Drosophila melanogaster: one gene and its partner. The protein of the gene in region 1 interacts with the protein of each later gene in a pairwise test. Each region holds a gene or a part of one and is shown in the gene's direction. Other genes may lie near its edges.

Region 1 (4,904 bases):
ACCACTAGCTGGGCATCATAGGCATCGCCGTTCCGCTCGGCGTGCACAATCTTCATGGCCGACTCCTGCAGACGATGCTTGATGTCGTGGAATATGTGCTTGTTCCAGGAGTCCAGCATTAGTTTTCGTACAGGACTGTCCTCCGTGGGGTTTTTCTTGGAGGTAGAGGTGCTGCTGCTGGAGCTCCCACTTCCGGAAGCAGCTGCAGCTGCCGCTGCTGAGCTTGTGGAGGCGGATGTGGAGGCTGCAGCAGCGGCGGCTGAAGTGGAGGCTCCAGCTGCGGCTGAGGTGGAGGCTCCTGACTTTCCAGCCTGGCCGCTGCAGGAAGTAGCTGCTGCCGCCGCGGCGGCACTCGTACTCGCTCCCGAGGCGGAGACGGATGCGGAGGAGCTGCTGCCACTGGAGGAGGGCTTCACCTGGGGCGACTGCTCCAGCTGGCGGAAAGGCAGCGGCAGGTAGTTGGACTGTGTAAAGAACTTCCGCCACTCCACAATATAGGTGGCCAGAAGGGCCTGCTCGCCCCGTTGCGCTTGCACCTGGCTTTGGGCCTGGACGATAAACTCAACGATGTCCTGCTGCAGGCAGTCGTAGATCTTGGCCGCGCCCTTCTCGTCCCACAGGCACACGAAGTGTACGCCGAAGAATAGGTCCTGCCATTCGCGCTGCGACACCGTGTCCTGGCGCAGTAGCTTTAAAACTATTCGCCTTTTGTCCGGCCAAACTTCCTCGAAGATGTCCCTGTCCCGTTTCCCGATTGCCTGTCGTACAGGGAGATAAAGGTATATGTGCACACTGAACTCTATATGCGTTTTCATCGCCGATCAGGTCACTTACCCGTAGCATTTTGATCGTAGCAATCTCTTTGTTTTTGTTGCTGCGTCCGCTTCACTTCATTTATATTTATTTTTTGTAATTAGGCGATACGATACGATAGTTGGCTATCGACCAGTGTTGGTAAAATTTCGCCCGTAGGGCTTATCGCCCATCGACCAATCGATTTCGGGCAGTCGATAAAACAACAGTTCGGAGTGCAGCAAAAGTGCGGGAAATCTGCGGAAATGTTATTAATCGAACATTAAGGGATACCTCGCCCAGCCGCGGTAATAATAACCAAGGAGAAATAGGGCAATAATACAAAGTTGTCTTGTCGAGGGTTTTGTGAAGTTCGCTAGTTTGCCCACTTCGTTTTGGTTTTTTTCTTCTCTACCTCTTCGTGCGCGAGTGAGACAAAAGCAGTACTAGCAGACATCTCGGTCTAGCACACGTCCCCGACCTAATGTCTGGTCTGCATTGTTTCAGGGCTGTCAGATGTGCCTGAAATACTCAGTTCCGCATTTCAAAATATCGCTTACTATTTCGTGTTCTAAAAATAATATATTTTGTTTTTAGTGCGGAAACTTGTATGGTTTTCTTTATATTCTTATTTGTTAAACTAGTAAAATAAAGTTATTTATCAATTTAATTTCGTTACGTTATTGCCGTCTTGATGTTTATTTACATTCAAAAAGTCTTTCACAGACAGGTGTCAACCCTAGTTTTTATAACTTATCGTAAACAACGCGCTTAAATCTTTATAAATCACAAAGAGTTTTCTAAGCTTTTATTAAAGTGACTGTTTTATTTATAAACATTGAATTCTTGTAGAAAACCATATTTTTTAGAGTGAATACAATCGATGGTTGCGGGGCAAACATCGATGCTGCCAGTTATCTGTATACATCGATAGTATCGACTAACCATCGGCTTCTCTTCCAGCTCTAGCATTCACCATTTCCCTTTGTTTGCGGCGGCGGCGCTCGTTGTACGGCCGTGCGAATCGAGAGAAAAACGCATAAAATCGGGGAAAGTGCACTAGCCCCGTGCTGCAATGTAAATAAACAAGGCTCTGATGAGCAGTTGCCGATCAAGTGCTTCGATTAGCCAGCAAAATGTGCGTACAAGGCGAGAATCAGTGACGAAAACAACAACTACGTGCTGCTGCGTTCATTGACGTGACGCGCGAGAGTGAATGTGTGCGTGCGTGTGTGTTTGTGTGTGTGTGCTGGCTGCTGGCGAGTGAGTGTGTGCGTGCTCCCCATATGTGTGTTGTCGAAAAAGCGTTTTTCAAACCACAAGCCAGCAACAAACAAATCACAACAGCACGTCACAAATTGCAATAGAAGCAGAAGCAGCAACACCTCAAATCAAAAAAAGGCCCCACAACAACAACATCTGTCGAGTTCTCAGAGAGTGAGAAAAAGAAAGAGCGCGTTAGAGTGAGAGAGGGGCAAAAAGAAAGTCAACAGTCGCGTGTGAAATGAAATTCGAAAGATGTCCGCGTGTGTGTGTGTTGAGTGTATAGAATTGAGTAAGAAGCAGCGCGGCAAAAGGAAATAAGCAAAAGCAATAGCCAAAAGGAACCAACAACCAGCAGCAACAAATTACCCAATGAATCAATCAAAATTGGCATAATTTGCATTCGCCGACGTTATTGTCTATAAAACCCCCCTGAAAAAAACACCACACAACAGAAGAGCAGCACAAATCTTTTGCCAATGAGTCGCAGACAGTCATTGGATCGACCAGGTGAGAAAATGCCAATCAAAAACACACACAAAAAAACTACGAATAGAAAATCCAAATTCGTAATCACGCTTACTGAGAGCAAGAGCAAGAGCGTGCAGCATCCGATTCTGATTTTAAAAATGCACTTGCGCACGTTCTCTTCGCCGCTCTTCTCGCTGCTTCGCTCTCGCTGCTCTTTCGTGCTAAAAATAAACGCTGGCTGCGCAGCTGCTCCCAAACACTTGAACTTTGTAAACACCTCCGACACTCCAACAATTCGGCCATTGTACAGTGACAAAAACCAGCGTAATTATGAGTCTTCATCAAAAAGCCAAATCACTGAAAACTATAAATGAATGCAAGGGGCGGCCATCCGCTCTCCACTCGCTCGCCATTCTATTTTTAACCCGACTTTCATCACTCTCGAGCGGGGAAAAGAGAAAGTATCTGTCACTGTCTTAAGCAGATGTAAATGTGCCTCATATAACTATAGCCTTTATGCACTGTTTGTCCATGTGTGAGTGTTGTCCGGGAAGAAAGCAGCAGATCAAAAATCACCAACTTTGGTTTGTTTGTGTTTTGTTTTCGCCAGGGCAATTAGTATTATGGGCGAATAATACCATGGTAAAAGCCAGACGCTTGAAGTTTGGTCTGTTTTGTTTGAGGAACTTATCGGAAGTTCATAAAGATTGAGCCAAATTTATTATTACTTTTTAATAAGTAAAAAGTAAGCTTTGGAAAATGCATTAAGCAGCAAATGAGAAAGGATAGGTGGTACATGGATGAGACTATTGTAATCCAGCTATTAAGCTAATTAGCCGTCAATCTATTAAGCCAGCTTTACGAATATTTATGCTATCATTTAGATTTAGTGTTGGAAAGAAATCTATTTCCCCCAATCCTAGGGCCGCAATTTGCACTGCAATGCTGGCACACAACAACAATAGTAATGGGCTTAGACGTAGCTGCTTGGCGTTGAGGAATGCTGTCCACTTATCAGCTGCAATTAGCAATGAATGTTGAATGCAAGCCGTGCATCGCTTTGGGAACTCAGACTGTCCGGCCCCTCCACACACTAACATACACACACTACAACTCACATACAAATGCTAACACATACTCCCACGCTGTGTTCCTTTAATTTATTTATAACATTCAATGTAAACTCTGCTCAAGCGCCAGAGTCAAACGGCACAAACAATTTTCGATGCAAGGCAACAAAAACAGGGGCCAGCAGTTGCGTTTGCTTGATTTTTTTATTATTTCCCACTTTGTAGGTCAGGGTTGTCGTGTGTAATGCAAAACGTGCCAGCAAATTGAATGAATAAGCGTGGCTATTCCACTGCAAGTGCATTTACAACAATTGCAGGGTATTGCCAGAAATTAGCCACAGTCAAATAAATAAGGCATAGAATAAAATCAACTGTACAGCCATGCTTAATTGGTGTATAGAATTTCGCGTGATTTCCAATTGCAGTTGATAACCGGTTCGCTTCGAGCTAAACCAACTCGATAATAATCTTTGTTATTCCCGAATGACTTCCGTTTCCACTTAAATTAAATGTAATCAGTCTGTTGCTTTATTTTAACTAGTAAACTATGGCAAAAGTACAAAGCATGATAAGCTGGAAATATGACATTTTTTTATATGATTAAAATACGATAGTTCGCATTAAGAATTGGTCAGTGGCTGCATTTCTTTTTGTGAGAAATGTCGCTGTCATAATTGATTAAAGACGAAGAATAGCTATAAAGAAGTGACAACGATTATTTTTAACTATAGTGCTTGTTTTGCCGCCATTTCCTAATCTCCACTGACCCTATTTCCACCCATTACCCGGAACGTTATCGATATTTACACTGTTTACATGCGATACGATTGTGGTTATACAAAGACGTTTTGGCAGTGTTTACATTGGAAACGTTTTCCATCTACCGGCTGATAGATTGTTATTATTACGGCCGGGGGCATAACGCTCTGGAATTTGCATTTAAACCCGGTTTAGAAAGTGGATCGGGGGAATACACCCTTGGCATTCATTTGGCGGAGGCGTTTCGGACAATCTGATTCGATTTGTTTTGGTATTGCTTCGATTTTCGCGCTGTCTTCTTCGCGTTGACGCGTGACAAAGAGTCATTAAGTTCTGTTTAAGGTGAAATCGATTTTCCGGGCCATTAGGCGCCATTAGAATCGACTCTTATTTGAATTTTCACATTGTTTAATTATTATTGCGACGACAACTTTGGTAGCCATTATTTATTAATCAATAAACAAAATAAAACCTTATCAAGGTTATTGCTCAGATTGTATTCGAAATTTCATAATGTCGATATGTTTATGTGGGATTTACTAACTGATA
Region 2 (7,847 bases), on another chromosome or scaffold:
AGAAGGGTCTCAGCGCCGTTGTCAGATCTGCAAAAGCGCCCAATCACATGATCATCCAAAAGTTGTGGCGCATTCAAATCAACTGACCTTGGTTCAGCGATCGGCGCAAAAGCAGGAAGTGCCGTCTGCTGGTGACCAATTTCCGGATCTTGGAGCCCAACGACATGGACATTATGTAAGCAGTGGGCGGCAGCACAACACTGCACCGCGTCACAGATGGCCAACATACGGGAGCACTGCCGCGAGATTAAGATTTTGGATATATAACTCCTGATCTTGAATTATGAGGTAAAATTGGTAGGACCGCGGCACTGAATGCCAAATATCCATTACTATCTGGGTAATAGTGGTGGCTGTTTGGGTGGGTGTTTTGAGGTCCCTCATGTTGACAAATTGTTCTTTAAATTCTTGCGATAAAATAGTTAATCTTGATAAGTTTGTCATAAAAAAGTTTTAATGAGTTTGTAATTAATAAATTAATTAGTTTTCAACGAAAACAAATGTTTTAATTAATTTTAAACGTTTAGCTATATTCACGCTAACTCTATCCACAAGATTTTGCAGCACTGACGCTGACACTTTTGATGTGGCCAGTTTTTGCGCAGAATTCCGCATTGTTTACCTCGCTGCTAAAAAGTTTTTAGCGCAATTCCAATTATTATTGTTAATAATAGTAAACAAATCATACGACAACATGACTGCCGTTCCACCCCCCTCCAACATCTCTACCCTAATGCCATTGGGTACGTAAATCTGCTACAGGTCTACAAATCGAGAGTTTCTAACTTTTGCCGGCTTCCCGTACTACCCTACAGAATTGGTGGACAAATGCATCGGTTCCCGCATCCACATTATCATGAAGAACGACAAGGAGATGGTGGGAACTCTCTTAGGATTCGATGACTTTGTGAATATGCTCTTGGACGACGTAACGGAGTATGAAAATACCCCCGACGGCCGCCGCATCACCAAACTGGATCAGATTCTGCTCAACGGGAACAATATCACAATGGTGGGTGCTCTTTTTCGAAGTTACATACGTTTGTTTATTAAATTTCATTTATAATTTGATTTCAGTTGGTGCCTGGCGGAGAGCTGGCGGAGTAGCAAGGTTCCATTTGTAAACATAAATACATTTGTAAAATATCAAAACGGTCGTTTTAATGTGGATAATATTGTGTCGTATGTAAATGTTCGAGGTATGTTAGAAGTTAGCAGTGGTCAAGTGATTAACAGCAATGTTAACAGATTTTTGGTCCTAACAGATACGAATTTGAAAACGCTTGGCTTAGGAAATGAAAATTATTTGCCCTCTAATCTCAGAATAAAACACTATATAATATTACCTAATATACAAAACATTGTTAAATTATCAATTGGAATAGAATTAATTTTACATAAATAAGCATATTTTATGCTTATAGGGACCGGATACACTTGAAATGGAATACCGAAAAAGGTCGACCGCTAATAATTCTGTAAAATGACTTCCAAGCTTCAAAAATTCAAACTTCACATTAAATATTTAGTGTCTTTCCGTTAACATTCAACCGCTACTTGTGCTCTGGCTGCCATGCAAAGTAGGCGCATGCGCTCCATCCCCAAAATGTTGGGTCTCAGCGATACAGCAGTCAACATGTGCCATAAATATTAACCGCTTTTCCCTTCTGGCCGTGCGTGTGGGTGCAGTGCACTCTCCGCAGTACCGCTCTGCTCTGCGTGCGTTCTCCCGCTTCCGTTCGGCACCTCCAGCGTTCAGTACGGCAGCAGGCTTCGACGGAAGTGGAACAAACCAAGCGGAAACAGACTCACGCGACAACAAAACCGAACCGAACTCGAATATGGAAAACTTTTACCCAGAACCGATATAGCACTGATAAACGCAACTCGGAGTGAACTTTATGAATGGCCATGACTAATTGCAGTCATCTAGCAGCAGCCACAGTCGATGTGTGAACTTCAGTGGTGAAGGTTGTCCGGTTTTGCAGCGAAAGATACCCGTGTTTCGGTATCTGTATCTGTCGGTGTCTCATTTGAGCGGCTCGAATGATCCGCCTGTAATTATGACTGCGTGAAGAAATCAATAAGTGGAGGATGGCCAGCAAGCCCATGAGCACCAGCTGCCAAAGCATTGCGACGGCGGCCAGCAGTGCGGCCACCACGGCGGCAGCGGTGTCCATCTCGGCCTCCAATGCCACCTCTGTAGGCTCCCTCATCGCCGCCGCCTGCCAGCAGGAGCAGCCACATCCCCACCAGCACTATTCCCAGTCCCAGCAGCAACACCTCTATCATCAGAGCCATCAGCAAGCGTCGCACTATGTCAATGGCACCGGCAGCTTGGGCAGGCTCAAGTTCCACAAGAGTCTCGATGCCAGCGACGAGGAAATCGAGTATGCGCAGGTATGTCCAAGTGGCCAAGTATCCAACTGCTAGTCGGAATCGTCTCCAACTGAATTCAATTGTGCCCCACACTGAGTCATAATAATGCGACAAGGTCCTGCACTGCTGGCTCAATTGAATTTGTCTTGTGGGTGGTGGCGGTGTTGGGTGGTGTGTGATGGATGGTGGTTGCTTGCTGCCTTGTTGAGTGGGTGTACTTGGGGGTGGTTTGCGCAACCTAGCTCCCATCCCAGTGCATTTGCTGCCCCCACAGCTGTTTAACCCACCAGCCGGGTCGTTATGCATAGTTTACGCTTCGCCAGGCAACCTCAACAGCCGCCAACAACCGCCGTCGTCGATCAAGTGTTAATAATTCAATGCCCCGGAAATAGTCATATATTGAAATATATCGTACACCCTGCGAGCAGCTTAGTCCCTGCAAGGGCCTTGACTTTGGCCAAGGCAATTTGAAAAATTAACCAGTTGGATTAATTTATGGGTCACTAAATGAAAGGGGCATGTTTGCGAGCATGCCATATTTACAGCACCATTAATGGGGAGCTCGGTCAAAATTTCTACTAAAGTCACGATATGAGCCACAATATAAAAATGAATGCAGTTAATACAGCTTTAATTTGAGGACTACACCTAAACACAGTTTTTACTAGAATTAATGGAATTAAACTTACATACTCAAATGAATTAAACCGTTCATAAGGCAGAAACGATGAATTCGTGCACCATTTTTTTTATAGTTTTCTAACTCATTTTCTCCGCGTTTTCTTTTTTAATGAAAATCTTTACAATTTCATTTAAAACGGGCACTGTATTTCTGTACATAATGCCATACAATTTGCTCTTCCTTGCCGATGGCATTATAGTCGGCGGGAGGTCTGTTCTAAAGCCTTTCAAGCCAGTTATTACGCCCGCACAAAAAAGCGTTAATGAAAGAACTGTGCTGTGTCTCTATACTTAGCATGTTGTATCTAAAAATAGGTGTCATCGATATAAATATAAAAATATTATTAGTACACTTGTTTATACCATGAACTTTTCCGAAACTTTAAGCTTGACTATCTTACAAATATTGTTTTTTGTTTTATTCTACTACCAACTTGTTAATCCGTGGAAATGGCTTGCATGGTATTATTTTGTCCGTACCTGTATTCTGGGTTGGTTTGCTTTTCCCTATCTAACCCGCTTTCCTTTCGGGGGGGCAGTGAAAGTGTTGCCTGCTGGGGGCTTCATCCTGTATTCATAGAAATGCTTTCAATAAAAGCAGGAAGAACAGTAGGGACGAAGGAATGGGCTTGGCAAACATCATTTTGATGGTTTGCACCACCACACCTGGCGGCTATTTGGTGTGCCACATTGCCTAGACGTGCAAATACCCGGAAGTGCCAACGATAGTTTAGCATATAAGCTTTTCACTTTCACCGCAAATCAACACATTCCTTTCACAGATAGAGAGCACAGCTCTCCAATGGCCAATGTGGTTTGAATTGCTATAGAGAATTGCGTTCTTGCTAAAGGAATTCCATATTATTGTACAATATTACATATTATGCACGTTTAATATTTAATGACATTCCAGTTATCCCGTTCTACCCATATCCTTGGGCGCCACAAATCCGAGCGATATCTGGCCTCCAATCCGGACGAGGACCGAAGACGTCGCACCATAATCGTTGAGAAAAAGAACAACTCGTATGGATTCACGCTGCAGAGCTACGGGATCCACTACAAACGGGATGAGGAGCTGGAAATGATCACATACGTGGACTACGTGGAGTACGGAGGTCCGGCCTATCGAGCTGGCATGCGTGAGGGAGACGTAATCCTCTCCATTAACGGAAAAGATATGGAGAAGGCGGACCACAAGACCATCGTCGAGTTCATCAAGCAATGCGACACCAGGATGAGAATGGTAGTGCTTTTCGAGGACTGTGTGAGGAAGGTAAAGTATTTAAAGGATAGAAAACTAAAACGTATTTCTGATAAACGTGTGATTCCCCAGGTGGATCTCCACATGCGCTACATCCAACTGCAGAGCATGTTGCAGCAAAAGATGAACGAACTGGAGAGGGTACACCTCAGAGAGCGTGAGTTATTGGAGGGCAAGTGGAAAACGCACAGTTTGCCAGCGCGTAAGAAGGCCAATGCGAATACTTCGCCCAGTGATGGAGAAGGAGTATCACCCACAGAGGTGGCTGGTGAAGCTGGCTTCTACCGACCCGCTTTGTCCACCGAGGATGTGCCCAATATTGCCGCCCGCCAGCATGGGGTCGGTGGCCCAGGAATCATACCTCCTCCCGCTCAATTTATGCTCACCTACCACTACCTGGATCCCACATACCGCTACGTCCTGCGACCCACGCACGGCAGCTCAGAGGAATTCGTTGACGGATTGGGTCTTCAGCGGAGCAGTAGTGATCACCAGCCGCCGGCACAGCGCTATGTCCTCCAGCAAACCGAATCTGTGGATGCAAATTCGATGACTCAACCCACAACAACGGCTCCTACCCAATATCACAGCACCACGGGTGGATCGGTGAAGCCACCCGCACCACCTCCTCGCACCTGTGAAAAGCACAAGCCACCTGCTAAGCCACCAAAGCCAGAGAAAGAAAAGTCATCGGGCAAGCATTGCCATGTGGGACACTCGTGCAATCCCTGCTTGGGTCACTTTCGCTGGAAGTCGGCGGAGAAGTCAGCTGTTCCGGCGCCGGATAACGTGAGCTTGGATGCCTATGATCTGGCCAGTCCGTGCTGCGATACACATTGTGTGCCATCAAGAAGACGTCATCGGCAGCATAAGGAGCACACGCATAAGCACAAACATCGTGACAGGGAACGGGTGGAGAGCAAGGAGCAGAGGGTCAGACCCAAGTCCACATCCCATGCCTCACCCAATGCCAACGGGGGTGCAGGATCTGGACATCACCACCATCATCATCATCACCATCATAGCCATGAGCAGCAGCAGCAACAACAGCAACAACAACAGCAGCAGCAGCAGCAACAACAGCAGCAGCAACAACAACAGCCCATTCAGACTGTTCCGCACCACCACCACTATCCCCACCAGATGCACAATCCCTGCCAGGTGCAATCCCAAAGTGGTAGCACCCGATCCCGCTACTTCGACTTGGCATCCGGCTTAGCCAGCCACTGTAGCTTACATTCCTGCACCTCAAGTGAGTTTGCTACAGGAGACACAGCTTCATATACCACATCCATAAGTACGGATACTTTGTTTTGGGATCCCACAAGTGAGACGGCTCAGTCCCGACAGCACTCCACAAAATCCAGGCAGTCCTACGAGCAGCAGCCACAACAGCAGCAGCCAACTCACCAGGGACACCACCACCATCATCATCACCAGGGGGATTACCACCAACGATATCATGTGACCACCACACAAATGCAACCGCAGCAGATCTATCCCAACACTATAGCCTATGTCCAGAAACCAAAATCCTGGGACAATCTAGCCAACAAGGCGGGCTTTAATGTGGGTTACGGTTACCTTGACACTGTGGCCGTTAAGCCAGCCATAAAAATGCAAATTGCCCAGCAGCGTCACTCGATGCCGCGAAGGAACCCGTACGGCAGATACTCCACTTACGGCGATGTGGAGAACTATGCCCCACCGCCCACCGAGTTTGTGGGCGAGCTGACCACCACCACAACCACCACAATTACGGCCAAGTCCACGGAGGAGCTGTTGGCCGCCTGCGATTGCTTGACGCCTCAGCAACAGGCTGCCATTAAGGCGGCCCAGTACCAACTCAGTCAAAATCAGAAGCTGTCCCACCAGAACTCCTGCCAGTTGGGATACTACTCGCATCTGCCGCGACCTACCACTGATGTGGGCACCTCCACCACTAGTCAGCAGGTGCATGGTGCAGGAGATGTCCAGACGACTTCGGAGGCCACCAGATTGTAGGTCAAAGTTGTCTAGACCGTAACGAGATCCGTCTCAAGAATAATATGAGTGCACCATGGGTAGAGGGTGATGATCAAATAGTTTTGAAGTTTGATAGGCGTGTTCAGTTAATAGAGGTTTAAAACTAAATGTTATTTTAAATGAGAAAGAATTGAATGAGTATGAAAAAAAATATTGAATAGAATAAAAGTCGAATCAATCATTTTGATTAGTCTGGTAATTAAATTATTATTTAAAAATAAAAATAGAATTTTCTTTCTAAACTGATATCTGTATATTCAATGTTGTGTAATTTTTGAACAAAATTATATTAGGTATTTAAGGAATAGATAATTTAATATTTTGTAGCTTGACTAAAAAATGTAGAAAATTATTTGTTTGGTATCCAAATGTAGTCAATGGTGAAAAAAACCTTCTTAAAAAAGATAAGAATTTAGTACTCATTCCAAACTTACCTCATTCAAATCAACTCACACGCCTAACCTGTGCATGATTCACTTAGTTGAACCGCTCATGAGTGCACTCATATTCTGATCCATTCGCGTCTTCGAAAACCGAACATCGAACTCATTTGAAATGGTAACTAGAGCCAAATTTTAAACATATAACTCAGACAAAAATCAACATGTAGCTTAACTATTCAATAATATGTTAAGTGAGTTTTATAAATGTAAGATAAATATTTAGCATCCAAAAACCGCAGGACAATACACAGAGATAAGCCCAAAAGAAGATACTTCTAAGAGTAGATGATTCAGAAATTAGAACACCTTAAGACCTATAAAAACTAAACTTATAGCTATCTTCTGTTTGTGAAACTCACTTAATATATAGGCGATATAACTAGGACGCTTTGACGTTTAGATTTTTGGATTTATTGAAAGACTGAAAAGCCACGCGCATATTCCAAATGAGAGAAAAATCTGGCGTCTTGTAATGATAGATAGAGGATTATATATGTATCTGTATTTGCCATATAATATGGTTAACCTATCATGCGACTAGATACTGTTTTACATGTAGCATATACACACTTAAGCATATATATTTATTGCATACTGTATCCGAACAATGTAATTTATTTCATTGTGATAGTGAAAGAGCACTAAAAACCGCAACAATTTTAGTCGCATTTTTATCAAGCAACCAACCAAATATAATTTAAAACGCTTTTATGTAATGCGAAATGTAAATGTTATTGAACTTATGTATTGCAATAAAACTCAAGAAATGTGTTCATGTAGTGTGACCCCTAGATAAAAATAGAAACAGAACAAGATATATTATTGGTAGGAGGAGGAATTATTCTTTATTCCTGCGAAAATTTTCTAAAAATAAGGTGTACATAGAATTGAATTTATTTAATAAAAATCGGCTTTATGGGTTAATAAAAACTTGTGGAACACCCCAGGGAATTTCATCAGCTGATTGGCTCGAAAGTGGCGCCACCTACCGTACCTATTGGTCATTTTACAACCCCTGTAGAGTGTTACCATTGGAAGTCTCCACATGTAACGTC

The links.
Region 2: the proteins of Bicra (region 1) and ssp6 interact in a two-hybrid assay, tested with the Drosophila melanogaster proteins (one large-scale study listed by BioGRID).

The regions. Positions count from the first base shown.
Region 1 is NT_033777.3:29,062,048-29,066,951, forward strand, and holds the start of Bicra (BRD4 interacting chromatin remodeling complex associated protein), read left to right. Parts: upstream 1-1,780; 5' UTR 1,781-2,534; coding exon 2,535-2,565; intron 2,566-4,904. Other genes in the region: Cul5 (cullin 5), read right to left, coding at 1-758, 835-843.
Region 2 is NT_037436.4:6,074,946-6,082,792, forward strand, and holds ssp6 (short spindle 6), read left to right. Parts: upstream 1-1,776; 5' UTR 1,777-2,094; coding exon 2,095-2,400; intron 2,401-3,973; coding exon 3,974-4,336; intron 4,337-4,396; coding exon 4,397-6,328; 3' UTR 6,329-7,546; downstream 7,547-7,847. Other genes in the region: CG13295 (uncharacterized protein), read right to left, coding at 1-27, 88-172; CG6610 (uncharacterized protein), read left to right, coding at 695-743, 816-1,012, 1,078-1,107.